4 linked regions of the Rattus norvegicus genome follow. The protein of the gene in region 1 purifies or fractionates together with the protein of each later gene. This does not show direct contact. Links are inferred from orthologs where the notes say so. Each region holds a gene or a part of one and is shown in the gene's direction. Other genes may lie near its edges. The genes, in order: Pten, Usp10, Otud3 and Cenpc.

Region 1 (7,066 bases):
TGGAATTACTGTTTATGAAGTAGCAATTGATTTTCATATGTGTAATAGAACTTTATTAAGGGTTCAAGTTGAAGAGGTCCTTACTTGGATTTTATTTTACTTATTTTATTTCTACTGATTTGTTTTAGATAAGCAGTCAGTGTGAAGAATTTTGTGTATATTTCTGATACTTTATCATTAAAACAGTTTGTGATAATTTGTGTGTTGAAGACATTTCTTGTGGAGTGACCGTCTGTATGTACCCATGTAGATCCCCAGTTTGTGGTCTGCCAGCTAAAGGTGAAGATCTACTCCTCCAACTCAGGACCCACGCGGCGGGAGGACAAGCTCATGTACTTTGAGTTCCCTCAGCCATTGCCTGTGTGTGGTGACATCAAAGTAGAGTTCTTCCACAAACAGAACAAGATGCTCAAAAAGGTCTGTACTTCAGTTCCTCTGTGTAGAAATAGCCATTCCTTCATGAGTAACCACAGCCCTTTTGCTTAGTGCCTTTGGTTAGGAGATTAGTTTGTAAGGAGAGCCTTTCTCTGCCATCCGCTGCGCTGATTCCTGCTTTGCTAACCATGCACACTCTGCTATTGTGGCCGAGCCGAGACTGTAAGCAGAGCCGCCTACCCCAACCTCGGGGTCAGCTCTCTGCTTTGTTCTGTGATCTTATGCGACACAAGCCATGTTTCACCCGATTAGGTTTATGTTTCTTGAGACTATAGACTATTTTATATTTTGTTTCCCCATATTTACTGAGTAAGTTTAGACAGTATTACTTAGTTGAAAGAAATAGCTATGAAGAAGAAATAATTAAAACAAAGCGGGGGAGGCTGATAGGTTAAACATCCATGTTTAGGATTGCTGAGGCCTGAGACAGACTTGAGAAAAGGCAAAAGCTCGGCTGTAGCGCCCTTGGTGTGAACATTTGTCCTTGGTTAGTATCCTTAGTTGAGTGTGAACATGAAAATGAGCCTTAAGGTGTAGAAGGCTTAGCTGGTAACAGAGGAAGAGCAACTATTTCAAAAATTAAGTATTTGGTTTTTTTCTCTCTCCTAGTTTGTTTGTTTGTTTGAGACTGGGTTCTCTGTGTAGTGCTAGCTGTCTTGGACTTGCTTTGTAGACAAGGCTGGTCTCCAGCTCAGAGATTACCTGCCTCTATATCCTGAGTTCTGGAATTGAAGGTGTATGCTGTCACTGCCCGATATCTCCGACTTCTTATCAGACCCTGGCTCACATACAGTTGTGTATGTGCGCGCACGCGAGCAGTGGATACGCCTTTTCCGTCCTTGTCATCTTTTGTCAGTGTTTGTTTGGAGACAGACTCTTACTTTGTAGCCCAAGCTGGTCTAGAACTCACTAAGTGGCCCGGGTAAAGCAGTCTTTTCACCTTAACTTCCCAAGTGCTGTGATCATAGGCATGAAGCACCTCTCTTGGCTTTATATTGTTTGTAAAAATAGATAATTACCTCAGTGTCTCCTTGTAGTTTTAGAGATGTGCTGTTTCTTACTCCTGATCTCTGAAGATTGGATACTTATAATATATTTATATATCTTAGATTACATTCCATAAATTTCCATTTATTATAGCTTTTCCTTACTAATTACATGCCTGTTCTGATTTAAATAAAAACAGTTTTAGAAAATCAGTGCACATCAGTGAGCCACATTTTGTAAGTTTAAATAATATTATCTTGTTTTCCTCTAAGTAAAATACAATTGCCAACTGAACAACATTAAAATAATTGAGATCAATAAGGTTTTAAAAAGGCTGAATACACGTCTCAGCAGTTAGGAGCCCTGGTTCCTAGCAGGGGGAGAGGGGATGGGATAGGGGTTTCTAGAGGACCCAGGTTTGATTCTCAGCACCTATATGTTGCCTTACAGTTATCTGTAACACCAGTCTTGGGGGATCTGAATCCCTCTCTGGCTTCCACGGGCACTGGGCATATCTGGGCAAAACTAAAGTTGTCATAGGGAACTTAGTCTAAAGTTTCTAGGGCTTCGGTTGTTAGTTTCTAGGGCTTTGGTTGTAATGACACCTGATCTTTGTTTATATCTATATACATATAAACTCAGAACATTTTTAAAATTCCGTATTAGAATAGGAAATAGTTTTCTTAGGATTTGGGATCCATCCCATATACAGTCACCAAATCCAGTCACTATTGCAGGTGCCAAGAAGTGCATGCTGACAGGGGCCTGATATAGCTGTCTCCTGAGAGGCTCTGGCAGAGCCTGACAAATACAGAGCTGGATGCTTGCAGCCAACCATTGGACTAAGCAGGGTTCCCCAATGGAGCAGTTAGAGATATGAAGGAGCTGAAGGGGTTGCAACCCCATAGGAAGAACAAAATATCAACCATCCAGACCCGCACAGAGATCCCAGGGACTAAACCGCCAACCAAAGATAGACAGACCCATGTCTCCAGCTGCATATGTAGCAGAGGATGGCCTTGTTGGGCATCAGTGGGAGTGGAGGCCCTTGGTCTTGTGAAGGCTCGATGCCCCAGTGTAGGGGAATGCCAGAGCAGGGAGGTAGGAAGGAGTGGGTGGGTGGGAGAGCACCCTCTTAGGAGCAGGGGGAGAGGGAATGGGAAAGGGGGTTTCTTGAGGGGAAACCAGGAAAGGGGATAACATTTGAAATGTAAATAAAGAAAATATCTAATAAAAGAAAAGATAAAAGAGATAAAAGTAAGATAACAGAGTTTACATGATTATTTTTTATTCATAACATAACTTAGTGAATAAGAATATTCCACAAGGTGTTTGCCTTCATTTTAGAATATGGTTTATATGTTGACTATTTGTGGTACATTTTTAAATAAGTGAAATACATCTTTCATTTCTTTCTTTTCTTTGTAGGACAAAATGTTTCACTTTTGGGTAAATACGTTCTTCATACCAGGACCAGAGGAAACCTCAGAAAAAGTGGAAAATGGAAGTCTTTGTGATCAGGAAATCGATAGCATTTGTAGTATAGAGCGTGCGGATAATGACAAGGAGTATCTTGTGCTCACCCTGACAAAAAATGATCTTGACAAAGCAAACAAAGACAAGGCCAACCGATACTTCTCTCCAAATTTTAAGGTCAGTTAAAAGCATTCTGGGGTGGGAGGGTGTGTTTTCTTCTGACTGAAGGTGAAGACCTAGGGTTGTTGTAGTGTTGTTTAGTGTGTACTCCCGAGAGGTTATGCAGCCTTTCCTTTCTGCTCATGAGTCCACTTATTCTCTCGCTATTTCTTCTCTCCCTCACCACCTTGAGTCTTCCCCTTTAAATTCTTTTTTCTTTCTTTTTTTTTTTCCCTTTTTTTTTTTTTTTTTTTTTTTTTTTTTTGGGTTCTTTTTTTTCGGAGCTGGGGACCGAACCCAGGGCCTTGGGCTTCCTAGGTAAGCGCTCTACCACTGAGCTAAATCCCCAGCCCTAAATTCTTTTTTCATTCTGTTGTATTTCTTTTATTCACATGTAACAAACTCAACTATAGATTATATTATTATAACATAATAACAATGCTAATAAAAATAGAGAATGACATTCACATGTTAAGTGAACTTAGACCTAATTAATATTTCAATGCCTTTGGATCTCGAGTATGTTTTTAAGTTGCCTTTAGAATCCTCATTTTTCATTTTTTCCTTTTCCACAAATTGATATTCCTATCAGCCATCCGCTTTCTGATTTTTTTAGGTAGGGTCTTGGTATAATGGGCACAGGCTGGGCTTGAACTGCCATGTCTCTGCCTCAGCCTCATCTGGCAACTATTTGCTTTTAAAATGTATTCCTCTCTAGTAAACATTACTGTTTTAATGTTTCTCCGGCAATGTACGTCAGTGCTTGCCTAACATGAGTGATGCTGAGTTCAACACCAAGTACTACAAAACAATCAATAAAACAGTACAGTGTAGAAAAGTTACTGTAGATAAAGACTGTTTTCATTGTCACTGAACAAACAGATAGATCAAGGTAAGTGCTGTGAAGCCGGCAGCCGGCAAAGGCGGTCTGGTCAGGTGGGTGGTGGGTGTGTAGAGAGGGCGAGCACAGAGTGAAGTGAGCACACTTACACCTGTGAGCTGTGCACAGCTTGCAGAGCAGCTATTTGGACAACAGAGGAAGAGTAGATAAGAGAATTGAGGCATGCGTGAACTTGGTACCTCTCTGTGGCATTCAGAAGTCATTTCTACTGAGTCGCAGGGACCCGGTCTTGGTGTGAAGGTGTGGGGTGCCGAGCACAGAGAAGATGTGGTCGGAGTTGGCTTTAACCGTCCACCTCACTTCCTGAGTCGAGCCTGGACCGAGAACTAGGGAGAGGCAGCGGGCTCGAAGTGGCAGGGAGAGACAATGTGAGCCTGATGGGTAGTGCACATAGAAGGCGGGCTCACGCAATGGCAGGAGCAGTGCTGAATGAGTAACTCACTTGGACGGGGATTCTTAAAGCAAGGGTCAGTTATGAGAACAACTGAAAATGACCTGAATAATGGAAAAGAAAGTGTAGATCTCCTGTCAACTGTTCACCAGAGATTGTCCTTTAGCATGTTGCCTGGACTTCTGGGTTTTTGTTGTTTCTTTTAAAATGGAAGTACTTAAGGAGTGACTAACAGTGACTGCAGCATGGAAAGGCCACTGGTCCATCTGCGGACCACTAAGTGGTCTGTTAGCTTCCTCCATTCTCTCTAGAGGAAGATTTTAGAGCTAGTTGATCTTGTATACATGATTATTAATCAGTATTGTGTGTGTCACTAGTGTAAACATGGAGTTGTTTCAGAGATTGTAAGAGAAATGCTTTTGAAACGTAAGCACTTGTAAATTGAATTTTGTGTTTAGTGAGTCCATTGCCTTCAGTTTGCACTTTTATAGAATTATACAGTGCTTATAGCTGATGTGGTTTAAAAATAGCTCTCAACTCATCAGTGTGTCTTTTGAGTGCACAGTAGGCAGTTTTAAGGTCAATTGAAAAGCAGTGCCCTTCAGAATTCATTTTGTTATAGTACTTTAAGTAAATCTGCAAAGCAGGATGCCATTCTAATTGTTCACTTTCCTCTTAAACTGTCTTTCTCTAGGTGAAATTATACTTTACAAAAACAGTAGAGGAACCATCAAATCCAGAGGCTAGCAGTTCAACTTCTGTGACTCCAGACGTTAGTGACAATGAACCTGATCATTATAGATATTCTGACACCACTGACTCTGATCCAGAGAATGAACCTTTTGATGAAGATCAGCATTCACAAATTACAAAAGTCTGATTTTTTTTTTCTTATCAAGAGGGATAAAATACCAAGAAAAAAAACTTGAATAAACTGAAATGGACCTTTTTTTTTTTTTTTTTAATGGCAATAGGACATTGTGTCAGATTGCAGTTATAGGAACAATTCTCTTCTCCTGACCAATCTTGTTTCACCCTATACATCCACAGGGTTTTGACACTTGTTGTCCAGTTAAAAAAGGTTGTGTAGCTGTGTCATGTATATACCTTTTTGTGTCAAAAGGACATTTAAAATTCAATTAGGATAAATAAAAGATGGCACTTTCCCATTTTATTCCAGTTTTATAAAACGTGGAGACAGACCGATGTGTATACGTAGGAGTTTTTCCTTTATTTTCTGTCACCAGCTGAAGTGGCTGAAAAGCTCTGATTCCCAGGTTCACGTCCTACCCCTTTGCATTTGTGGCAACAGATAAGTTTGCAGTTGGCTAAGAGAGGTTTCTGCAGGGTTTTGCTACATTCTAATGCATGTACTTGGGTTGGGAATAAAGGGAGTGCTCAGAAAGGAGCGTTCTAGCTGGCTCTGGACCACACATCTCCGGCTCTTTAGTGCTCCTTTCTTTAGCATGTTCCACTTACTAATCTGCACATCCGGGAGATGGCCACTGTCCTGCTGTCTGTCTGTGCGTTTTAAAGAGCATATTGGTGCTAGAAAAGGCAGCTAGAGTGAGTACATTTGTATTGGGGTACAGGAATGAACCATCTACAGCATCTTAAGAATCCACAAATGAAGGGATATAAAAATAAAGTGGTCATAGATAAGAGACACAGCAACAGTCACTTAACCATACAAATGTCGAGGCTTTCAACGAAGAACGGGCTGGAAACAGAAGATTTGACAATGATTTACTCAGTAAGCTTTCTCAGTTGTAATGACTGCTCCATCTCCTATGTAATCAAGGCCAGTGCTAAGAGTCAGATGCTATTAGTCCCTACATCAGTCAACAACTTACATTTATTTTTATTAATTTTCAATCATATACCTACTGTGGATGCTTCGTGTGCTGGCTGCCAGTTTCTTTTTCTCATTAAATATTTTTTAATTCTTCACAGGAAATTTCAACTTGAGATTCAACAGTAAGCAGGTTTTTTTTTTTTCCTAGAGATTGATGATGCGTCCTCAGTCCAGTGGCTGTCAGATGTCCCGCCCTTTTGACCTTACACATTCTATTACAATGAGTTTTGCAGTTTTGCACATTTTTTTAAATGTCATTAACTGTTAGGGAATTTTACTTGAATACAGAATACATATAATGTGTATATTAAAAAGTCATTGTTTGTGTTAAAAAGAAATTAGAGTTGCAGTAAATTTTCAGCACTGCACGAATAATAAGGCATTTAAGTTTTCCAGTAGAAATTGTCCTACAGATGCTTTATTGACTTACTGTTGAAAGGATAGATCTCTTTCCATGTGCAGTGTTGTCACTTCGTTAGAGTGGTAGAGTTGGGATTAGGGCTTCAATTCCACTTCTTAAATATCATTATATGTTTGATATGCCCAGACTGCATACAATTTAAAGCAAGAGTACAACTACTATTGTAATGGTAATGTGAAGATACTATTGAAAAGGATCCCCGGCCCCCCCTGGGAATTTGGTGTCTTTCAAATTATATCTTGACCTTGACATTTGAATATCCAGCCATTATATTTCTTAATGGTGTGAAGTCCCATTTTCAATAACTTATTGGTGCTGAAATTGTTCACTAGCTGTGGTCTGACCTAGTTAATTTACAAGTACAGATTGCATAGGACCCACTAGAGAAGCATTTATAGTTTGATGGTAAGTAGATTAGGCAGAATGTCATCTAAAATATCC
Region 2 (7,066 bases), on another chromosome or scaffold:
ACACGCATACACCGATAGCACTTAGCTACGTAGATAAGCAGCTACTTCCCGTTACCCAGCACAGTAGTGAGAAAGAGGCTCGGATTCCTGAGCTGTATCCCCTCGTGCAGCTTTGCTCCAGTTTTTACTTGAGAGAGAGGTTGAGGCCGTGGAAGGGTTTGCTCTGGCTTGGGTTCCGGAGGGGTAGCACCCCTTGCAGTGGATGGCATTGTGGCAAGCTAAATGACCACATTTCACCCACACACGGGGAGCAGAGGGGGGACAGAGAATAGAGCCAGGCCCTAAGCCCTCAGAACCAAGCCCCCTGTAATGTACTTCCCCAGCCTCTACTACTAAAGGCTCCATATCCTTCCTTCCTAGACAGTGCCACCAAGTGTTGAGCTCCAGAGCCCTTGGTCATTTCACATTCAAATGCCAGCGGCGACACAGGAAAACACAACACAGGGCTGGAGGCCCTGTGGGCACAGGCTCACTCCGGGGTACCCGCTTGTCTTAGGGGTGGGAAGTTGGAGGAAGCAGTTGAGATTTTGTCCTGTGCTGAGAGCGTCCTCTGAGGATGAAGCGTCTCACCCCGTGTCACTTTTACTACAGAGTGTCTTCAAATTTTTCCAGTTGTCCAAAGAATGTGAATGCCTCTGGTTTTTGAAACAAGGTCTTTCTCTGATGCTCTGGCTGGCCCAGAACTCTCTGTGCCCTGCCGCACTTGGCATTTCCAGAGCTTGGTGTCTGAGCATGGCTACCACACAGTGCTCACTGCAGCCCAGTGTCCAGAGTGGCTGGCTGCTTTAATTGCTTACCGTGACTTTAAGTGTAGAGCATAACTAGATCTTTTTATGTGTGTGGTTTTCTAGACAGGGTTTCTCTCTAGCCCTGGTTGTCCTGGAACTCACTCTGTAGACCAGGCTGGCCTTGAACTCACAGATCTGCCAGCCTCTGCCTCCCAAGTGCTAGGATTAAAGGTATGGGCCACCACTGCTTGACAACCTGTTTTGGTTTTGGGGTGTTTGTTTGCTTTTTGCATTTTTGTTGTTGTTATTTTGGTTCTTTTAGAGTGTGTGTGTGTGTGTGTGTGTGTGTGTGTGTGTACACGTATGTGTGTACACGTATGTATGTATACGTACGTATACTGGAGAGGGTGACAAGGTCAGGACAGTTTGTAGGAGGAGTCAGTTCTCTTCTTCATGTGGTCCCAGGAATCAAACTCACCTGTCAGGTCTGGAGAGCATGGCTTCGCCGGCTGAGCCTCTCAGCGGATCCTCATGAATCTGTTTAGCCAGTTCTCACAGAATTGCACTTGCTTGGATATTTTGTTTCTGAGGAAAGCTGACTCAGCAGATCCTCTTCTTTTCAGAGCACTCTGTTTCTAATGGGCCCGGAAGCCACTTGATAGAGGATGAGGAGCTGGAAGACACAGGCGAGGGCAGTGAGGACGAGTGGGAGCAAGTGGGTCCCAAGAACAAGACGTCTGTCACCCGGCAGGCGGATTTCGTTCAGACGCCTATCACTGGCATTTTCGGTGGACACATCAGGTTTGTGCTTTTCCATGTTCTCAAGGTGTGTGTGTGTGTGTGTGTGTGTGTGTGTGTGTGTGTGTGTGTGTGTGTGAGAGAGAGAGAGAGAGTGTGAGTGTCTGTATCCTTCCTCCTGCCATCTGCTTTGCCTGGCTTTCATTCGCTCTTCCTCAGGCCTGGCTCTCAGGGGCTGTGTGCCTCAGTGCCCCCAAGGGTGCTGGCCCATCACTTGAAGTCAGGAAGCCAAACTGACTTGATTGTTCTGGTAACAGAGACTCCTGTCCGACTGGAGGCATTGTATCACTGTACTTTTTATTAAGTGCATGTGTTAAAGTCTATAGAAGGATGTTATGCACACAGGTAGTGGAGTGTTGGCCATGGAAAACTGGTCAGCACAGAAACCCCGCTTCCATGGTGCCCCTCTCCCTGTCAGATGAAAGCAGCCGTGCTCTGCCCCTCCCCCCACCTCCGTATACCCGCGTACCCCGAGGGCTGATGCTTTGTGCCCTGTGTCCTGGACCTCCTGTTTTCTTCCCCCACATCACTGTGGTGACTTTGCTTTTAAATCTATAGCAGCGTGAGCACACATGGCTGTCCTGTGTCCAGCTCTGTTCATTTAGTATGATGTCTTCCAAGTCCATCCCTGTTCTGACGAATGTTAGGATCTCCTCTTCCAAGACTGAGTAATATTCCGTTACATATTCCCACCTAAGTGGCTTTATCCATGTGCTTTTTGATGGACACATAGACTGTTTATCTAGGAAATAACTGAATGGGTGAGACGGAATAGAGGCCAGAGCCTCATGAGCTAGAATGTGACAGGATCGGAGGGAGACACTGGCCCAGGAGGACATGTGACCTGGGGTCCTTCAGACAGCTTTCTGCTCGTTCATGACATCCTTCTGAAAGACTTTAGAGTTACTTCAGAAGCCCCGAGTTATCGTCTAAAGATGAGTCAGTGGGCTTCAATGGGTGCGATCTCCTGGATGCTGTATTGGAAACCAGTCTCTTCTCAGGCATCCAGTGCCAAATGAGTGAGTCCACTCAGTAGCAGACTGAGCTCCTTTCAGCAGAGTCTGCACTCCCTGCCTCAGAAGCTTCTCTTTGCTTCTGTGGCCCCCATGGGGAGGGCTGAGGACCCAGCTGAGCCACGCTGACATGGCACAGGCCCCCTTTTCCTCTGGTGTTCTTCATGGGGCTAATGGATCTGGTATGGTCTAGGAATCCCTGCCTACACGTCGCCACTGTGACTCATCTTGGCAGACACAGCCCCCCTGAGTCGAGCCACGGTGGAGGAATAAATAGGCAGGTCGGTGAGCAACAGAGGAACGAAGCTACCCTCTGCTGCTCTTGCCATCCAGCCCCGAGTTAGGAGTCAGGGCAGTGAGGGACAGCAGACTACAGGCTGCCACAGCACACTGCACTAAGGGGCAACATGGGCTGTTTCCCTAAGGGTGACAGCAGAGAAGAAGCCAGGCTGCCCTTCTCACCTCAGCCTCTGTGCTGGCCCTGGCTTCAGTAGCTTCCGTGAGGTTTTTCTGGTCAACTTCATGGTTTTTTCAAAGAACAAAAGCAGAGATAAGAAATTATTATTTTCATTTTATTCAGGGTCTCATGTATGCCAGACTGTCCTTACACTCAACGGTAGGTGTGGCCACAGCCAAGGATGATTTTGAGAATTTTAGTCATCCTTGCTCTCCCACCTCCCAAGTGCTGGGATTACAGGGGCATGCAGCCTACCCTAGCTTATGAGGTGCTGAGGTTAGAACCCAGCATCATGGGCACCAGCAAGCACGGTCCATCCCAGCAGCACCCTGGGCCTAGGCAAGGAGTTCTTTCCAGTTTTGTTTTGTTTATCTAAGGCAAGGTCTCTACTGCCCGTGTTGGCCTAAACTCATGGCAGTCCTCCTGCTTCAGCCTTCTGAGCACCCAGCTAATGAGGACTTCGGATGACCTGATGACTTGAACTGCATTTCAGACAGAATTAGAGTCTTCATTCTGACCAGGGACGGCCCCAAGTCACTGTCTTTCTGCAGTTTTTAGTTTCCCTAGAGAGACCCTTTTTTGGGGGGAGGGGGTGGTCCTTTTCTGATGAATGAAAGGTTTTGGAGTCAAGAGGGTCTTGATTTCTGCACTTACTTTTTTTTTTTTTTTTTTTTAAGATGGTTCCTCTGTGTAGCTCTGGTTGTCCTGGAACTCACTCTGTAGACAAGGCTGACCTTGAACTCAGAGATCTGTCCGCCTCTACTGCCCCAGGGCTGGGATCGGAGGAGTGCGCCACCCCACCCTGCTTTAATTTCATTGATGCTGTTCAACTTCCTTTTGGGAACCCTAGGAGTGTCAGTCATTGCCTGGCACTCTGGAGGAAGGCTGGGGCATTGGACTCTGAAAGGGTCTCGGCTGGGTGCCTATCTGTCCCTTTAAGTTGGAGTTTCCTCCCACAGCTCTGCTTTGCTCATAAACTAGGACTCAGGCTGCTTTGTTGAGTCTCAGAACGTTCCCTGGATGAGGTTAAGTGAGAGATGAGACATACTTATGGTTTTTATTCAGAACTGAGGAAAAGAAAGATGAATTAAAAAAAGTAAGAAAACAAGGTTGAGTGCCTTAGCTGCGAGGCTGCTCACCTCTCTTCCCGGATCGCTAACGTGGTTTTTATCCTTAGCTTGTTACCCTTCCTCCTCCTGATGTTTTTATAGCAGGAGAGCAGCCTTAAAAGTCCTGCTCCCCTGGGGATCCCCCCACGTCCCCATTTCACTAGAACAGGCTGTGACACTTAGTTAAACACTCCCCATCCCACTCTGCTTGAGTTTGTTAGCTGGTGCGTGCTGTGCTCTGCTGTGCAAGTGAAGAGTTTGGAAGTCGAAGCCCCTCAGCCAAGCCGGGAGAATGTGCAGATCAATTGCTAATCACAGGGTCTGGTAGTCAGCGGAGTTATTTTTAAATTCAGGGTGGTTTTGGCTGTTCTGTTGTCCCTGGTCCTGTGATACTGAGTAAACGTACTTGAGTATTGATTCCTTCTCTGTCAGTTAATCTTAAGGGAAAATGACAGACAGTGGCCTCTTACTCTTCTGTGTTTTCCGTTGCATTTTTAGGTCTGTGGTTTACCAGCAGAGTTCCAAAGAATCTGCCACGCTGCAGCCATTTTTCACACTGCAGTTGGACATCCAGTCCGACAAGATTCGCACAGTCCAGGATGCCTTGGAAAGCTTGGTGGCAAGAGAGTCTGTCCAGGGCTACACCACCAAGACCAAGCAGGAGGTATGCTCCCGCACAGCTGACCAGGAGCCTTCTAGATGCTTGGACGCTGACTTGAGTCCGCCTCTCACGCAGTTGCTTTACTGAGAAGCCCCGGGTTGTCAGGAAGGAGCGGTTGAACCATATGGCCCCCCAGCTGCTCTGCAGCTCTGGCTCTCGTGACTGAGGGAATTATCTCCCTTCTGCCCTTGACCCTGCTCCGTGTCTCCTTTCCTCAGTCCACCTGGTGTCTGCAGCCAGCCTACCTCCAGCAGAAGAGTTAGGATGTGAAGGGAGTTCCAGGCACGTCTGTGTTGCAAAAGCATTGATCATTAGGGACAGTCAGGCGACTATTCAGTGTGATGACGAGGATAAAGTCTTGAGTGTCCCGTCCTGGACAGTTAGGAGCTGGCCTTGTTGTTGTGGAGAGGCTGTTGTCTGGCTCTCAGTGGCCTGCTCTTCTGCTCTGCGGGGAGGCCGTCTTGTCTCTCAGGTCTTTTGCAGACTGGCATTGAGGTCACAAGGCAGGATGAATGCTGGGTAGTTAGGGTGGCGCTTTTCTGAAGAGTTCGTGGTACTGGAAAGCTGTGAACAGTGGAGTGCAGAGGCTACAGGGTCAAGTAAGGAGTGAGCAACTGAAGATACATTTGGTGGAGAAAACCAAAAGAAACCCTAACACCAGGCGTAGCCGGGAACAGTTGCAGGTGGGCAGAGAGACTCATCCTGCAGCAGGGCCGTCCGCAATCTTCCGACTTACACTGCATTAAGTTTCATTGTTGGTGCTGCTTTAGGATGTTTTAAAAGATTCAGGAGCCTTGAAAGCACTAAAGGGACGCAGGCTGGTCATGCCAGCTCCAGCCGTTCTGCACTCAGCTTGTCTTTCCGGCCATTGTGTCGCCACATAGCCAAAGACTTCGCTTGGAGGCCACAGATGGGCTCCTTACAGGGGTCCATGGGGGTACAGGCATGGCTGGGGAGCTGTTGGGAGTTGCTGTGGAAGCCCACAGGGGGGCTGCTGCAGCCAGGCGGGCCTGTGACCCAGGCTACTTTGTCCCAGGTTGAAGTCAGCCGTAGAGTGACTCTGGAGAAGCTTCCCCCTGTCCTTGTGCTCCACCTGAAGCGCTTCGTCTATGAGAAGACGGGCGGATGCCAGAAGCTCGTCAAGAACATCGAGTACCCTGTGGACTTGGAGATCAGCAGAGGTAATGCCGGCCTGTGCCTGCTGCAGTCCCCACAGCCTGTCACCGCCTGGTCACCAGTTAGGACTCTTTGTTTTAGCTTTATTGACATTTGTGGGTCTCTATACTGAATGCTCGCCAAGGTGGCTTCCTTAGTTTTAACTTTGACTTAGGGATGGTTTGCCGGTATGGAGTGTGCACTGTGTGCTTGGCGGACTACAGAGGCCCAAAGGGGCGTTGGCCTTACAGGTGGCTGCCAGCTACTGTGTTGGTGCTGGGCTCAAACCCAAGTTCTCTGAAAGAGTAGCCAGTGCTCCTAACCACTGAGCCATTATATTTTGTTTTTGTTTTAAGGCAGGGTCTCGGTATGAAGTGCTGGCTGGCCTGGAGCTCTCTATATAGACCAGGCTGGCCATGCACTCTTATTACAGCGATTTGCCTGGTGCAAATACAGGAAGGAGATGTAATGTGACTGGATCAGAAAAGCAGGAGAGCAGCCGGGGCTGGCTGGGGATGCCCTCCCCCACAGCGACATGGTGCCTGTGCAGAAATGTGCTGGCTACTGCTTTCTGTGGCTTCTGTGTCGTGTCAGAGGGAGACCACATACCTGCCTGGTGCCTGCAGGGGCAGCCAGTGCTCCAGCCACTGAGGCGTCTGTCTCACTAGCTCTGACAGCCTGTTCTGAAGAGCCCTAAGAGACAGGTTGAAGGAAACCTGTTTTTTTGTTTGTTTTAAGGTTTGTTTTACGGTATGTGTGATTTGTATGTACAGGTAGGCGTGCATGCCACAGCACATGTGTGTTGTTGGCTTAGGAGGTCAGAGCTCACCTTTAATTATGTCCTGGCCTTCATGTGGAAATCAGATGGCACCTTGTAGGAGTAGGTTCTCTCTCTCCACCATGTGGGTGAACATCTTAGATTGTACGCCGGAGTGTGGCAAGGCCAGGCAGTCTACAGAACACAGAGATCTGGGAAAGAAAAAGACAGCGGTGTCTTGCTCTGATCTTGGAGAGAGATCCTCTTGGGTCTGTTCCTCCTGTCCCAGCCCTGCATACCCCGGTTCCTGTCTCCTGTGGCTGTGAGAACCTTCGGGTTCACTTCTCACACCGCTCTGGGCCATGCCTGCTGACCCTCGAAGTGGGAT
Region 3 (7,612 bases), on another chromosome or scaffold:
GCAATTCTTATCCACTGAACCAGCTCTCCAGTCCCCGACCCCACTTCTTCTTCTTTTTTTTTTTTTTTGGTTCTTTTTCTCGGAGCTGGGGACCGAACCCAGGGCCTTGCACTTCCTAGGCAAGTGCTCTACCACTGAGCTAAATCCCCAACCCCCCCCCCCCTTCTTAAAGGTCTCACTACTTCAGCACTGCCAAACTGGACAGCAAGCTTCTGACGCACGAGCCTTTGAAGGCTCAGCATGACCTTCCTTCCATCTCCCACCTTAAGGCTCAAGCCTCACGTGCCTTCAGCTCCTTAAAGCCCAGGTGTGGTGCTGGACATTCCTGAGTGTCCGCTCTGGGCCACCTACACTTATCCTCGAAGCTCCTACTGAGAATTTTCTCTTCTGAGAAGTCGTTTTGGATCTTTGCACTTCTTTCGCCCCCTGATATCACACACATCTTCCTAGTAGCATTTGTCTTGTCACTACTGCATCCTTGTTTATAATAAAACCTTCGGATTTTTGGCTCTCTGTAGTCAAGGACCATGTCTCTCTCTTTCTATCTCCTCTCAACTGAAACATTCTTTCCAAATGGAGCCTCATGAGACTCAGGAAGTGGACAACTTAGGAGTCTCAGGAAGTTCCTAAAGACCAGTTTATGGAAGCAGGTGGAGGAGACTCTCTGACCTGGTTAACTGCCCGCAAGCTACCCAGAGAGATCTGGGGATGCACCTTTTCTGAGTTGAAGCATCTAGGCTGGGGCAGGCTTTTGGTGATGTGGCCTTTGGGACATCCCTGCTTCTGTAAGTAATTCCTCATTTATACTCCTATAAATCACCCCAATAAATTTTGTTGGTGCTCCAACTTGGTCTTCATTGGAATCATTACTTAGTATTGATTTTATGACACAGGGTCTTAATCTAGCTTAGTCTAGCCCAGTAACACTCTGTAGCCCAGGTTGGGCTCAACACCACAGACTCTCCTGCCTTAGCCTCCCCCAGTGCTGGGGTTCTAAGCAGGAGTTCCCATGCTTGCCTAGTGTTCCCAGGATAGGTAATAAAAGACCACAGTTGGATAGAAGGTCCAAAAAGGGAAGGCAGTGACATTACTGCGGAAGGAGAGTGCTTCAGACAAAGGGAGCCAGAATGAGAGAGACATAATTACCGGTCCCTTAACACCCTAATGAGCACGCATGGCTTACGGTAAACAACTGTCCAGGTTTTTCTCACACTCTCAGTTTGAAACAGAAAATTGTGTATCCCAGGAATAGCTTCAGTCCAGGTCTACCAGTCCAGGTCATCCTGGAATGAGATCCCCGATTATTGGACAGAAGGGCTCTTTTTTGCTCTCTCTCTCTCTTTTGGCTTACAGGGGAAGGACAGGAGTAACAGAACATCTGGGCTCTAGAGTCAGAGTGAAGCTTTGCTTCTCAATTGTGTGGCCCTTATAGTTACTTAACTTTTGGAGTCGAAGTTCCTATATAAAAACCAAACAAAAAACCAAAAACCAACCAACCAAACAAACAAAAAACAGAGACACACAGAAGCATCTCTCTCAAGGAGGGCTCACCGTGTGTGTGTGTCTCTCTCTGCTTGTGTGTGTGTGTGTGTGTGTGTGTGTGTGTGTGTGTGTGTGTGCATGCAGAGGCTGTGCAGGTCAAAGGAGAGCACCAACTCCCCTAAAACTGGAGTTACAGATGGCTGTGAAGCACCCTTACATTCTGGGAACTGAATCCAGATACGCTATGTAAGAATCACAAGGGCCGGGATTGGGGATTTAGCTCAGTGGTAGAGCGCTTGCCTAGCAAGTGCAAGGCCCTGGGTTCGGTCCCCAGTTCCGAAAAAAAAAAAAAAAAAAAAAAAAAGAATCACAAGGGCCTTTAACCACTGAGCCCTCTCTCCAGCCCTGTACCTCACCTTTGACAATTTCATACATGTAAAAAATGCATTTGATTTTATACATTCTCAGCTCCTCTCTCCCACTCTCCCGGTGTTCTCTATGGCATCCCCCCTTCATGTCCCCTCCTCTCTCTCTCTCTCTCTCTCTCTTTTTTTTAAATAATCCATTAAATTAGTGCTTCCCGTTGAGATGGTGACTGACCTTGTTGACTTGATATTTTATGTGGGTAACCATAGGCAGAATGAGTTCGTGGTCCATCTTATTTCTTGTGACAGGGTGTCTTAGGGTTTTATTGCTGTGAGGAAACATCATGACCAAAAAGCAAGTTGGGGAGGAAAAGGTTTATTTGGCTTCCTCAGTTGAGGAAATCCCTCCATGAGGTTGTAGGGCTTTTCTCAATTAGTGATCAATGGGGAGGGTCCAGCCCATTGTGGGTGGCGCCATCCCTCGGAGGGTAGTCCCGGATTCTATAAGAAAGCAGGTTGAGTGTTAGCAGTTCCTCTGGGCTCCGCCCAACACTACCTAGCAACAGTTTTGCATCTCCACCAGCTAAGTTCGAAGACCACCAGTTACCACATTCTCTTTCTCTCATGTCCCTGACCGGTCTCTACCTCGCTTCCCCTCTCTCTCTTCCCTTTCTGTCCTTCTCTGTCCCCCTCCTTTCTCTGTCTCTACCCCTTTCCCAGGTTCCCTTCTCTTCCCTCAATGAACTTCCTTTTGTTCTAGGCCTGTGGCATGGTAGTGATTCCTCAGAGGAACACCTCGGCTTGGGCCCACTGAGGTGTTCCCTTCGGCCGCATTATAGCGCTGTTTTATAAAACACAACAGTGAGCAAGCCAGGGGAAGTAAGCCAGTAAGCAGCACCTTCAATGTCCTCTGTATCAGCTCCTGCCTCCAGGTTCCAGCCCTTGCTTGAGCTCCTGTCCTGACTGCCTCCAATGATTGTGATCTGGAAGTGTAAGCCAACTTGTAGCTCACTGATTGGCTAAACTGGCTGGCCAGCGAGTGCGGTCGACTGTCTCTGATTCCTCAGTGATGGGATCACAGGGGCTCGCTGACATGCCCACCCTTCTTAAACTGAGTGGTGGGGATCCGAACTCCGGTCGAACTTGGCATGTGGAGCACGCACTTATATGGACTGAGTTATCTCCCTGGCTCAGTTTTTAAAGGGTCTGCGCACGCACGCGCGCGCTTGTATTTGAACTCGGATTTGTGCATTCTAAACAAGCATATTTCCTCATCACCCGTCTTGATTTCCATCTTTTTTGAATTTTTGCATTTGTTCTTGCCTCTCTTCTGACATCCTCAGCCATCCTTGACCTTCCCTGTCTGGTCCTACGGCGCCTCACTGAGCACTACCCACCACGAGGTGGCAGAAGAGACCCAACCAAGACAGTTGCTTCTCTAGCCCTCGTATCTTTCTCTATGGTGCCTGCTGGTCCGGCCCCCCCGGGGGCGGAGCTATCGCCACGTGACCTGGGTGCCAGGCGACCGCGCCGGCGCAGTGGCCGCGCCGCTGTCGCCAGGTGCCGTCTCCTTACGCCGCTCCGCCGGGTGGCCGGCTGAGGCTGCGGCCCCGCGCTCTGCGGCTCCGGCTCCTTCCGCGGCGAGCCGTGTGCCGCAGCCATGTCCCGAAAGCAAGCGGCGAAGAGCCGGCCGGGCAGCGGCGGCCGCAGAGCCGAGGCGGAGCGCAAGCGGGACGAGCGGGCAGCGCGCCGGGCGCTGGCCAAGGAGCGGCGGAACCGGCCGGAGCCTGGCAGCAGCGGCTGCGAAGAAGAGTTTGTGAGCTTCGCCAACCAACTGCAGGCCCTGGGACTGAAGCTGCGGGAGGTGCCGGGGGACGGGTGAGGCGGGCCGGGAGTGCGGGAAGCGGCGCTGGGGATGCGCAGGGCCGGTCTCCGAGAGGGAAGCAGGGGCCAGGCTTGGTGGAAGGCTGCAGCAGGGTCCCCCGAATGTCCGAGCCGGTCTGAGAGGTGACCTCGAGGTGCAGCTGTCATGAAGCCGAATGGGAAGGGACCTCGGTCCCACTCGGTGTCATGCTGGCCTTCCTGGGTGTCATCGCCCCCTTCAGCACAGGGGTAACGAGGGCGGAGAGCTGAAGGTAGCTTCCCCAGTGTTTGCTGTCCATGCTTTGGGTTCCCCAAGTAAAAGGAATGAGAGTCCCCGGCCAGCTGTTTCGGGAAACACGATAGAAGAGTGGCAGCTGGAAACTGGGAACGGAGGAAGGTGAGGGAAAGCAACTTAATGGAACGCGGACGTGTGTCCAGGAGCGTGGTGTAGACAGGAAACCGTGGAGAGGAACTGGCTGCTAAGTGTGTTGTTGCAAGAGGCACTGTTACTGTGTTCGCGATGAACGGTCAGGTTGAGCTGTGGAAGAGTTGATGCGACAGGGTTTCAAAAAACAGAACAAAACCAAAGAAAGCTCGACAGCCTTAGTTAGAAATTGGGGAAAGTTCCTTTGTTCCTGTGTTCTCGCTCTTCTCTCTTGTTCTTTCTTCTCTTCTTCCCCTCTTTTTCCCCTTTGAGAAAGAGGCTCCCTATGTAGTCTTGGCTGGCCTGGAATCCCGTGTAGACCAGGTTGCCCTTAAACTCATAGCGTCTGCTGGGATTAAAGGTGTGTGCCTCCGACCCCTACATAAAGTGTTTTCTTCATTTCATATTACGTTGACTTTTATTGATCGAGATTCAATAAGTTAATCCCATTTGTCTCTCCTGCCTTCAGAGCTTCAGACAAATTGGATAGGTGTTTTGCTTAAGTTGCAATTAGAATTTAATTGTATTCAGCTACCAACCGGAACAGTGCCTGGGTCATAGAAGGCATTCAGGATGCTTTTGTTTTTCAGGGATTAAAAACTGTCCGGGGAGGCCACCTAGCTCCAGTAGAAGCACAAACTGCTATAGACATCAAACCATCAAGTGAAGCCGGGCGAGGTGGCGAGGTGGCGCACGTCTTTATTCCCTGCACTGGGGAGGCAGAGGCAGTAGATCTCTGAATTTGAGCTGGGGTGGTCACACACAGAAACCTTGTCTTGAAAAACAAAACAAAAGCGTCAAAGTTGAATGCAGTGGACCCAGGTGTGACCGTCTTTGCAAATGGTTACGTTGTATCTGTCAGACTGAGTATGGTTTCTTGGTGTCAAAGAAATAGGCTGGGGAAATGGGAACTCCACAGTTGCTCAAGAGCAACAAAGCAGACTTGGACTTCCATGAGGTTTACGTGAGGTTCTGAGCAACTTTGGGAGTGTTCCTTTTGTCCTTCTTCCCCTCGGGGAGCAGACTTCTTCAGTTAATCCTCATAGATTGCTAGCACGGGCGTGCTGGGAACAAGATGACAATGAGAAACTGTAGCTGTATAATACTGTAGGGTTCACAGTATTATATTTTGGTTTGGGGGCCCTTTTGTATTCTGAAAAATTGCTGAGGAATAAGCAGGCATACACACATTGTATGAGCCATAGCTCAGTATTAACCATATTCATAATTTAAAGACACAGGAGTGAACAGACGTGAACCCATTAGTCATCATGCTTTGAGATAGTAGCTTTTTTTTTTTTTAATTTTTTAAAGTCAGGCAAGATTTCTTTATGTAGCTCTGGCTGTCCTGGAATTCACCACTTGTAGACCAATTCAAACTTAGAGAAATCCACCTGCCTCTGTCTCCTGAGTGCTGGGATTTAAGGCCACTGCACTACCTTGCCCAGTGAGCTGGCAGGCTCTTGAGAACTACAGTATACTTATGAGAGAGCAAGGATGAAGAAGTTAGAGCGAGGCCTTTGTTTTGAGCTTACGGATACCCTGAAATGGTCTCAAGGCTTTAATAGCCTCTGGGCTATAATTGGGGAGCAGATATGGGGGAAAAGGAGGCTGTTATGTTCTTAGTAAGGGACCATGGTCGTGTTATTGAGAAGAAGTGGCTGACATGCTTTGAGGTGCCAAGGAAGACCTTTCCTCCCTTAGCCAACAGAGCCAGCGACTTCTATGTATAAGGTTTCTCTCACAGGAAGCCATGCTGGAACAGTTCAAAGGAACAAGAGGGATGAGTGCCGGGTGGCAGGCCAGGAGCACGTGTGTCCGATAGCTCCGAGTGCTGCAGTAGAATGGGAACACAGTTCAGTCAGGGTAGGAGTACAGGGAAGTGAGGGGCAGAGCCCACCTCCCAGTCTGTTGTCTGGCATTGTTAGGTGGCTCCATGCTGGGTACAAACCTTTGCTGGGGTGACATCCCGGGGCTGGCTTTGCTGGTCTAGTTTTGTATGTTATTTCCATCAGTTGTCGCAGTGAATGGCGTTTTCTGTGTAGGTGGTGGTTTGGAAGGGTCACAGATCTTTCTTTTCTTCTAGATGGGGTTTCTCTTCGTGGCTCTGGCTACCCTGGAGTGCACTCTGTAGACCAGGTGGCCTCGGATTCAGATCACCTGCCGCTGCCCCCCGAGTGCTGGGGAAAAAGCGTGTGCCAGCACTGCCAGACTAGCAGACTATTTCATGTGTTATTTGCTGAGTAGTGTTGGTTAAGATATAGTGCTGTTGCTAATACAAAAAAATAGTTACCAATTTTTACTGTCTCTGTTTTGAAAGGTGTAAAATGTTGACTTGCGATAGGCATGCTCCTTGAAGTGTTCAAGATGGTGACTTGCTACAGGCATGCTCCTTGAAGTGTTCTGTAATTGGTTGTTTTTCTAATGCAGGACCTTACATCTCTGTATCCCTAAAGTGCAGTGGTTCTCAGGCAGGGACGGTTTTGCCTCCCAGGAGACAACTGGACTGCCTGGAGACGCTGTTGGTTGTCACAGCTGCTGAGGAGGGAGGTGGTCCTGCCATCTGTGCCCACAGGCCAAGGATGTTCCCAAGGATCAACAGTTAGCAAGATATTCCTCCCAACACAGACTGACCTCAGACGTCCATAGTGTGGGCACCGAGCAGCCTGGTTGCCCTGCGATGGCGAGATCATGAACTCAGGGACCAGCTGGATCTCCGGGAGGCCCCGAGGGCCACGGCGCTAGGCTTGGTGGCATCTGCAGTGTGTTTCCAGGGCTTCCTAAGGGAACCCAGGTTGCTGTAGTGTTTGTTATGTTTCCTCTGTCGCTGCCTTATAATCCCATCAGGAAAACACGTTATTGCACTGTGTCTGACTTGTCTTTAGTGGGCTCAAGTAAAGGCTGGCAGATAAAAACTGTTACTTGTACGCAGGTTAAGTCCAGCTAACATTTGGTGTTAATGTTTGGGAGAGCCATGGCGAGAGCCAGGTCAGGTTGCCTGGGTTTGCGTCTTGGACCCAACACTTTTCCCACGGGCCATCTCACTAGCCCTGTTTAATTTTAGAGAACAGATTAGATGTGTAACAGTGGCCTTGTTGTTCCCTTCTGACGAGGTGAGCGAGTTTGGGGTTGTGTCTTTTCCGGCCTGTTCAGGTGCTTCTTCCTCGACTCCTGCCACTGTGCTCTTAGCTTGGACAGGTGCAGGCTTCTGCTGTTTTTGCCGCTTAGCGACTCAGTGAGTGATGTCTAGCTGGGAAGTTTTAGTGAGGCTTGGTTCAAAAGGTATTGGTGGGTGTGACATCGTAATGGCAGTTTTAGACCTTAGGCCTGGAGTGATTCGTGAGGTCTGTGCTCTGAATTGAGGTGCTGCTTATCAACTCCACCCCCGAACCCACTGAGGCCCTGAGAAACTTGATTTCTTTTTTCTTTTTTCTTTTTTGAGCTGGTAAACAGGGACGAGAAACCTGATTTGCTGCCT
Region 4 (7,066 bases), on another chromosome or scaffold:
ATTTGCTTGGAAAGTTGTTTTCCAGCCTTTCACTCTGATGTAGTGTCTGTCTTTGTCTCTGAGGTCTTTGTCTTTTTATTGGGAAATTGAGTTCATTGATGTTAAGAGATATGGAATAGGGATTGTTGTTTCCTGTTATTTTTGTTGTTAGAGGTGGAATTATGTTTGTGTGACTCTCTTCTTTTGGGCTCGTTGTAAGGAGATTACTTTCTTGCTTTTTGTAGGGTGTAGTTTCCCTTCTTGTGTTTAAGTTTTCATCTATTATCCTTTGTAGGGTTGGATTTGTAGAAAGATATTGTGTAAATTTGGTTTCATCATGGAATGTTTGGTTTCTCCATTTATGTTTATTGAGAGTTTTGCTGGATATAGTAGCCTGGGCTGGCATTTGTGTTCTCTTAGGGTCTGTATGACATCTGTCCAGGATCTTCTAACTTTCATAGTCTCTGGTGAGAAGTCTGGTGTGATTCTGATAGGTCTGCCTTTATATGTTACTTGACCTTTTTCCCTTACTGCTTTTAATATTCTTTCTTTATTTTGTGCGTTTAGTGTTTTGACTGATATGTGACGGGAGGAGTTTCTTTTCTGGTCCAATCTATTTGGAGTTCTGCAGGCTTCTTGTATGTTCATGGGCATCTCTTTCTATAGGTTAGGGAAGTTTTCTTCTATGATTTTGTTGAAGATATTTACTGGTCCTTTAAGTTGGGAGTCTTCACTCTCTTCCATACCTATTATCCGTAAGTTTGATTATCTCATTGTGTCCTGGATTTCCTGGATGTTTTGGATTAGGAGCTTTTTGCATTTTACATTTTCTTTGACAGTTTAGTCAATGTTTTCTATGGTATCTTCTGCCTCTATTCTATCTCTTGTATTCAGTTGGTGATGCTTGTGTCTATGACTCCTGATCTCTTTACTAGGTTTTCTATCTCTAGGGTTGTCTCCCTTTGTGATTTTCTTTATTGTTTCTATTTCAGTTTTTAAATCCTGGATGGTTTTGTTCAATTCTTTCCCGTTTGTTTATGTTTTCCTGTAATTCTTTCAGGAATTTTTGTGTTTACTCTTTAAGGGCTTCTACTTGTTTACCTGTGTTGTCCTGTATTTCTTTAACGGAGTTATTTATGTCCTTCTCTGTCATGATCATGAGATGTGACTTTAAATCCAAATCCTGCTTTTCTTGTGTATTTGGATATCCAGCATTTGCTTTGGTGGGAGAACTGGGCTCTTATGATGCCAAGTAGTCTTGATTTCTGTTGCTTAGGTTCCTGCACTTGCCTCTCGCCATCAGGTTGTCTCTGGTGTTTGCTTGTTTTGCTGTCTCTGACAGTTGCTTGACCCTCCTGTAAGCCTGTGTGTCAGCACTCCTGTAGACCTGTTTTCTTTCAGCCGGATCTGGGTATAGATACTGTGGGACAGCTCCAGGCACAGGCAGAAACTGGAAAGGGTCCTGTTCCAGACTGCTAATGGGTTTGTGTGTCCTGAAGTCTCCAGGAGGGTCAGTCAGAGCAGAAGAGTTGATTTTTACCTCTGCTCTCGTGTGTGTCAGTGCCCCTGTTGACTAACTTTCAGCTCTGGGCACAGGCAGAAACCGAAAGGGTCCTGTCCCTGAGGGCAGTAGGCAAGTTTCTCTTGGGCCAGGAATGTCAGCAGAAGTGGTGGTCTCCCCTGAGCTCTCAGGATTGTCTGCACTTCTGAGAGTCCAGCTCTTTCCCCCACGGGATTTGGGTAGAGAGAGCTGTGGGACCGGTTCAGCTCTGGGCGCAGACAAATTTAACTTACAAAATTGGTATGTGTATTTATATGTAAATGTAATGACACTGGTATTTCAGTGAGCCAGATCATTTGAACAAACATTGTAATTTCAAATTGTCGTTGAATCTTTTAGGTTCTGTTGATGGAAATTCTTCAAAGGAGAATGAATCATCAATTTTATATCCAAATAGAAAAAAACAGACTAAGAGAAATCACGTATCTGAGAATACTGAGAAGAAACCTGTTCCATCGAAAAGAAAGAAGAAAGAGATCAGCTCAAGAGAACTGAAGTCTTTAAATGTAAAGGGTTCTGGAGGAAATGATGATATTTCTACTTCCCAGAGGAAGCCGTTGCAAAACATTGACGCAGATCCAACTCAGAAGAGCCTTCATTGTTCTGGGTAATTTTTCTTCTATTTACAGTATAGCTGTCTTTTCTTTTTCTTACACAGAATTTGTGGTTTGGCTTTGTTATGCATTATTCACTAAGAGCAAGCATAAAGGACTTTGACAAAGTTGTTCTTAAATTTATGCTCTGCAGTTAGTTAGATGACATTTAGATACATTACTACCCTGAACTTGGCTCCTCATTTGGGAACTGGAAGTGATAGGTATTGAGTTGTATAGTATATATCATAGATTAATGCCACTTGGTGTCACATTTCTTATTAGTCTCAGCCCAGGTTTGTATTTTCTCTCTCTCCCTCTCTCTCTGTCTGTCTGTCTGTCTGGTTTTTTGTTTGTTTGATTGTTTGTTTTTTAATTTGGAGTCTTTGTAAACTCTAGATACCTTCTTGAATCTGATTCTAAATCTTAAGTTTACAACTGAACATGATGAACTATACTTTCTATAGCCAATTTTATATTGCTTGTATCATCATTTGTATATTGTTTCTAGAAGAGAGAATGTTTGAAAATAAATTTGAAAAGTATAATTTTAAACTTTTTTTCATAGACCTACCAGAGGCTCTGAAGATCAAAACAGTGATATGATATCACAGAATGTTCATTTAAAGACTCGTAGTGAGCAACATAGAAGCAAGACACAAATGGAATCTACTTCAAATTCGGAAGTGTGTAAACATTCAGTGTGGGAAGAAAGGTGTGTATACAGTGCAGTGATAAAGAAATCACTCAGTCACTATTACCCCTTCAGTGTGGGAAGAAAGGTGTGTATACAGTGCAGTGATAATAGAAGCCACTCAGTACACTAGTTACCCTTCAGTGTACCAGGTTACTCCCACATATCATGTGACTCTTGGTGCTGTCTTGCAAACATGCATTACTTTATAGCTGTGTGAGCCAGAAATTTGGGCAAGACTTAGGTAGCTGGGTTAGGGTTGGAGGTGTGTTTCTCTTTTGTATCCCTTTGAAGACTTGACTACAACTGGAGGATCCATTTATGTTTCCCATGGCTGTTGGCTGTAGGTTGCAGTCCTTTGATGTCTTTTGGTAGTCAACCTTCGTTTCCTGTTTTGTGGCAGTTGACTTCCTACAAAGCAAATGGTCTGAGGGAAGAAAGTATCCATAAGGGAAATCAGTGCCTTTTAACGACTTAAGGTCATCACAAGTCCAGACCACATTCAAGAAAAGGGAAATGAGGTTCTATCTTTTGAAAAGAAGATTGCCAAGGAATTTGTGGATTTATTGTTAAGACATCTACTAACACTGAAGAAGTGAGATTAATCCACTTGTATTATCTATGAACTGTTAAAAACTTTAGAAATGGCAGACTAGTAAGTGAGAGCAACTGCTCAGCCATTGAAGGGAAGACGAAGGTTCGTTACTGTGTGAGGGACTATGATTCTTACGTAGAGGAGAACAGGTTAAGTAGCTTGGGCCCTGGGCCTCCTTATGGACCCTAAACTGACCTTGAATTTTCCATCTTCCTGCCTTCGAATGCTAGGATTGTAGGCATATACTACCAAGCTTAGCTAGAACCTTTTAAATTCATGGATTTGTTATAAGTTTAATCAAGTCCAATAGCAACATTCCTTTACAAATAGAAGAGAAACCAGCAAGCATATCCTAATTTTAAAGAGACAGTCTACAAAAAAATGAAATTAAACCTGTAGTAGCTGTCTGTTTGCCCCCCCACCCCTCTCTCTTTATCTCATTTAGATAGATTTGACTCAATTATGGGATCAAATCATAGTCCTTGCTTTATACTGCACAGAAATTCATTCTTGATGATCTACTGCATCACTTTTAATTTCTTAAGAAAGAAACATGGTAGTTTTAACATGATCATGACATTTAGACACACAGAAATGCATATTATAAAGCACAGATTTGTTTTGTTCTTAAGTGGACCTTCCAGGTTCAAGAATCTTGAAATGCCTGGACGCAGTAATTCTGAAGTGGGTGACGAAAAGGACCAGAAGAGTTTGGGTAAGTTATTATTTTCTACTATCTTGGTTTCTAAGGAACTATGAGTATAAAGTATTCTGTGCTTATTTAAATTTTCAGTAGTAGCAAATGTGGATCTACTCCTAACTTCCTACTTCCAACTTTATAGTTGGAGATTTGTTGAAATGGTCTAGATGGGTAAAGGCATCTGCTACCAAGCCTGACGACCTGAGTTGAATTCCCTAGAATCCACATAGTAAATGGAGAGAATTGATCCACAAATTGTCCTCTGCTCTTCACAGACATTCCTTGGCATGTGTGTCTAATAGTTCCTGAAACAGGATGGGTGGATAGATGGACAGATAGACAAATTTGTTAAGCTGATATGGAAGTACTTAAAGCAGTAGTAATTGCATGTTGATTGTTAATGGAGATAGGCGATCAATAAATTGGGTTCATTATATAGTTTTCCTCTATTTTAAATAATTTTGACTTTTCGTGAATCAATACAGTTTTACACGTTTTTTGTTTTTTGGTGCTTGAATATAATGTTATACTATCTTTTTATTACTAATTCACTAATTCTTTTTTTTTTACATTTTTACATTTATGTATTTCTTTTTAAACTTTAATACTTTCTATATTCTTTGCCTTTTATTTGGTAAAGAAATAGTGAATTTGCCTGAGTAAAATTTTTAATAGTTTTTCCTACATAGTATTTTGTAATGTGTCCTTTTAAAAACATATTTTTAAAGTATTAAATATTTTGGATTTATTTTATGTTAATGAGTGTTTTGCCTGCCTGGATGTCTGCACCACATGTGTTACTGGTGACTTTTGATGTCAGAAACGGGCATTGGATTCCCTGGAATTGGAGTTAACAGATGGGGTCGTGACCTATAATGTGGGTGCTGGCTGGACTGTGTTTGTGTTTGTTCTATTGATAGTAAATTTTGGAAGGCAGATCAAGAGGAGTCACTGATTGCTTGTTATAAGATTGGTGGTTATAAGAAATAAAAGTGTTAGGAAGACATTAAGGATGTTGGTCTAAGCTTCTGAGACAATAGTATTGTTCTTACCTGACAGAGGCTTGTGAGAGGAGGAGCAGATATTTGGGGGAGTGGAGGACACAGAATCGTGGATTTGAAAGTGGTTAGTGTGATAGTACTATGATCATCTGTATTCTTTTGATAGTGGTCTGATGAACATTAGGAGAGGTGATGTTCGCTGCAACAGCGCTTGTGGCTTCCCTCATAGTCTAGAGAATCCTTGTTATACACCTTGGATAAAGCTAGTTTTGTCATTTCTTTTAGATGTTTCAGCTTAATGGAGTGTTCTTTTAAAATTATATGCTTATAGTATTCTTCATTCTTTGGGTTCTGTTATGTTTTCTTGTCTATTCTGGTTCTGTTAGTTTGGGTCCTTTCTTTTGGCTAGTTGGGTCAGGGGTCTGCCAATCTTGTTTTTCCCCTCCGAGACCCAGCTCCTGGATTTGTTAATTCTTTGTTTTGTTTTCTTTGCTTGTATTTCATTAACTCCTGCTCTGATTTCTATTGTTTCTGGCCATAGACTGGGTTTGGGTTTGGCTTGTTCTTGTTCCTCTAACTTTTTGAGTTGCATCTTTAAGTTATATTTGAAGGCTTTTTTATTTCATAATGTAAGGCATTTCCTTCACAGAACTGCTGTGAATGTGAGCCAGCAGTTTTGCTGTGTTATGGTTTCCTTTTCATTTACTTCCAAGAAGTTTTTTTTTTTTTTTTTTATTTCTTCTTTGACCCATCAATCATTCAGTTATGAGGTCTTTGTTCTTCATTAGTTTATTGGAAGTTTGTTTGCTGTTTGTTTTAAGTTTTATTGTTGCATCATGGTCATACAGGCTGTAGAGAGTTATTTCTATCTTTTGGAATCTGTTAAGAGTTTGTGTGTGTGTGTGTGTGTGTGTGTGTGTGTGTGTGTGTGTGTGTGTGTATGTGTGTATGTGTGTTTGTGTCCCAGGATATCTCTGTTAGAGAAAATTCGACGTAGAATGCATATTCTTTTGTGTTTAGATAGAATAATCTGTAGATACCTGTTAAGTCTGTGATCAGTTAATTCTGATATTTCTGTTTACTTTTTGTTCAAATGACCTGTCCATTACAAAATGTAGGATATTGAAATCATGGATAGATGTTAACTAGTTTCTTTTATTCCAGAAGTTCACATTCTATGAAATTGTGTGCATCAGAGTTTTGTGCACATATATTTAAGATAGAGATGTCTTCTTGATTAATTCTTCCTTTGATTAGAATAACGTGCTCTTCTTTTATTCTTCTGATTATTTTAGTCTGGAGTCTGTTTGGTCATATATGAGGTCACTAACACACTCTGTTGATTCCTGGTTGCATTTGCTTGGAATACCTTTTGCTACCCACTTACTTTCATGGGTGTCTAATTTAAAGATCAGTTGAATTTTGTGTAGAAAACAAAAAATGATGGATTTTATTTCTTTTTTTTTTTTACATATACTTCAGCTTCCATATCAGTTAGATTTTATACTGTTCATTCAACCAACAGCTAGTAGAAATATGTAAAAGAATGTGTTGATTTGGGAAATGTACAGACTCTTAGAGACTTTTACTTTTCTTTTCATCAGTGTAAGAGAAGTATAGAAAAGGCAATAACTATTTTCATACAATTAATATGACATTAAGTATTACATGTCATCTAGAAATAACTTAAGATGCACAAAAAGTCATGTTTAGGTGCTATAAAAATGCGATGCCATTTTCTATAAGGACTTGAGCATCTGCAAATTTTCATGCCTGTTGGGTATTCTGGAGCAAATCCTCTATGCAGGCAGAGAGGAAACTGTGTGTCTCTGTATGTTTCTACTATTTCTGATTCTATGTATAGATCTAACGAATACAAATATTTCCATGTAGAAATAATTTAAGTAAAATTACTTTATATCATTCTATCCGATATATATTAT

What was found.
Region 2: the proteins of Pten (region 1) and Usp10 purify together in Homo sapiens (affinity purification with western blotting; 4 studies listed by BioGRID, with this or other methods). This does not show direct contact. The link is inferred for Rattus norvegicus from reciprocal best matches to the Homo sapiens genes PTEN and USP10.
Region 3: the proteins of Pten (region 1) and Otud3 purify together in Homo sapiens (affinity purification with western blotting; 3 studies listed by BioGRID and IntAct, with this or other methods). This does not show direct contact. The link is inferred for Rattus norvegicus from reciprocal best matches to the Homo sapiens genes PTEN and OTUD3.
Region 4: the proteins of Pten (region 1) and Cenpc purify together in Homo sapiens (affinity purification with western blotting; 3 studies listed by BioGRID, with this or other methods). This does not show direct contact. The link is inferred for Rattus norvegicus from reciprocal best matches to the Homo sapiens genes PTEN and CENPC.

The regions. Positions count from the first base shown.
Region 1 is NC_086019.1:240,104,786-240,111,851, forward strand, and holds the end of Pten (phosphatidylinositol 3,4,5-trisphosphate 3-phosphatase and dual-specificity protein phosphatase PTEN), read left to right. Parts: intron 1-250; coding exon 251-417; intron 418-2,850; coding exon 2,851-3,075; intron 3,076-5,043; coding exon 5,044-5,229; 3' UTR 5,230-5,545; downstream 5,546-7,066. UniProt on the Homo sapiens protein: Dual-specificity protein phosphatase, dephosphorylating tyrosine-, serine- and threonine-phosphorylated proteins.
Region 2 is NC_086037.1:64,914,991-64,922,056, forward strand, and holds part of Usp10 (ubiquitin carboxyl-terminal hydrolase 10), read left to right. Parts: intron 1-1,351; coding exon 1,352-1,529; intron 1,530-4,603; coding exon 4,604-4,769; intron 4,770-5,802; coding exon 5,803-5,947; intron 5,948-7,066. UniProt on the Homo sapiens protein: Hydrolase that can remove conjugated ubiquitin from target proteins such as p53/TP53, RPS2/us5, RPS3/us3, RPS10/eS10, BECN1, SNX3 and CFTR.
Region 3 is NC_086023.1:156,441,237-156,448,848, reverse strand, and holds the start of Otud3 (OTU domain-containing protein 3), read left to right. Parts: upstream 1-3,507; coding exon 3,508-3,725; intron 3,726-7,612.
Region 4 is NC_086032.1:22,375,938-22,383,003, forward strand, and holds part of Cenpc (centromere protein C), read left to right. Parts: intron 1-1,879; coding exon 1,880-2,147; intron 2,148-2,701; coding exon 2,702-2,848; intron 2,849-4,054; coding exon 4,055-4,137; intron 4,138-7,066. UniProt on the Homo sapiens protein: Component of the CENPA-NAC (nucleosome-associated) complex, a complex that plays a central role in assembly of kinetochore proteins, mitotic progression and chromosome segregation.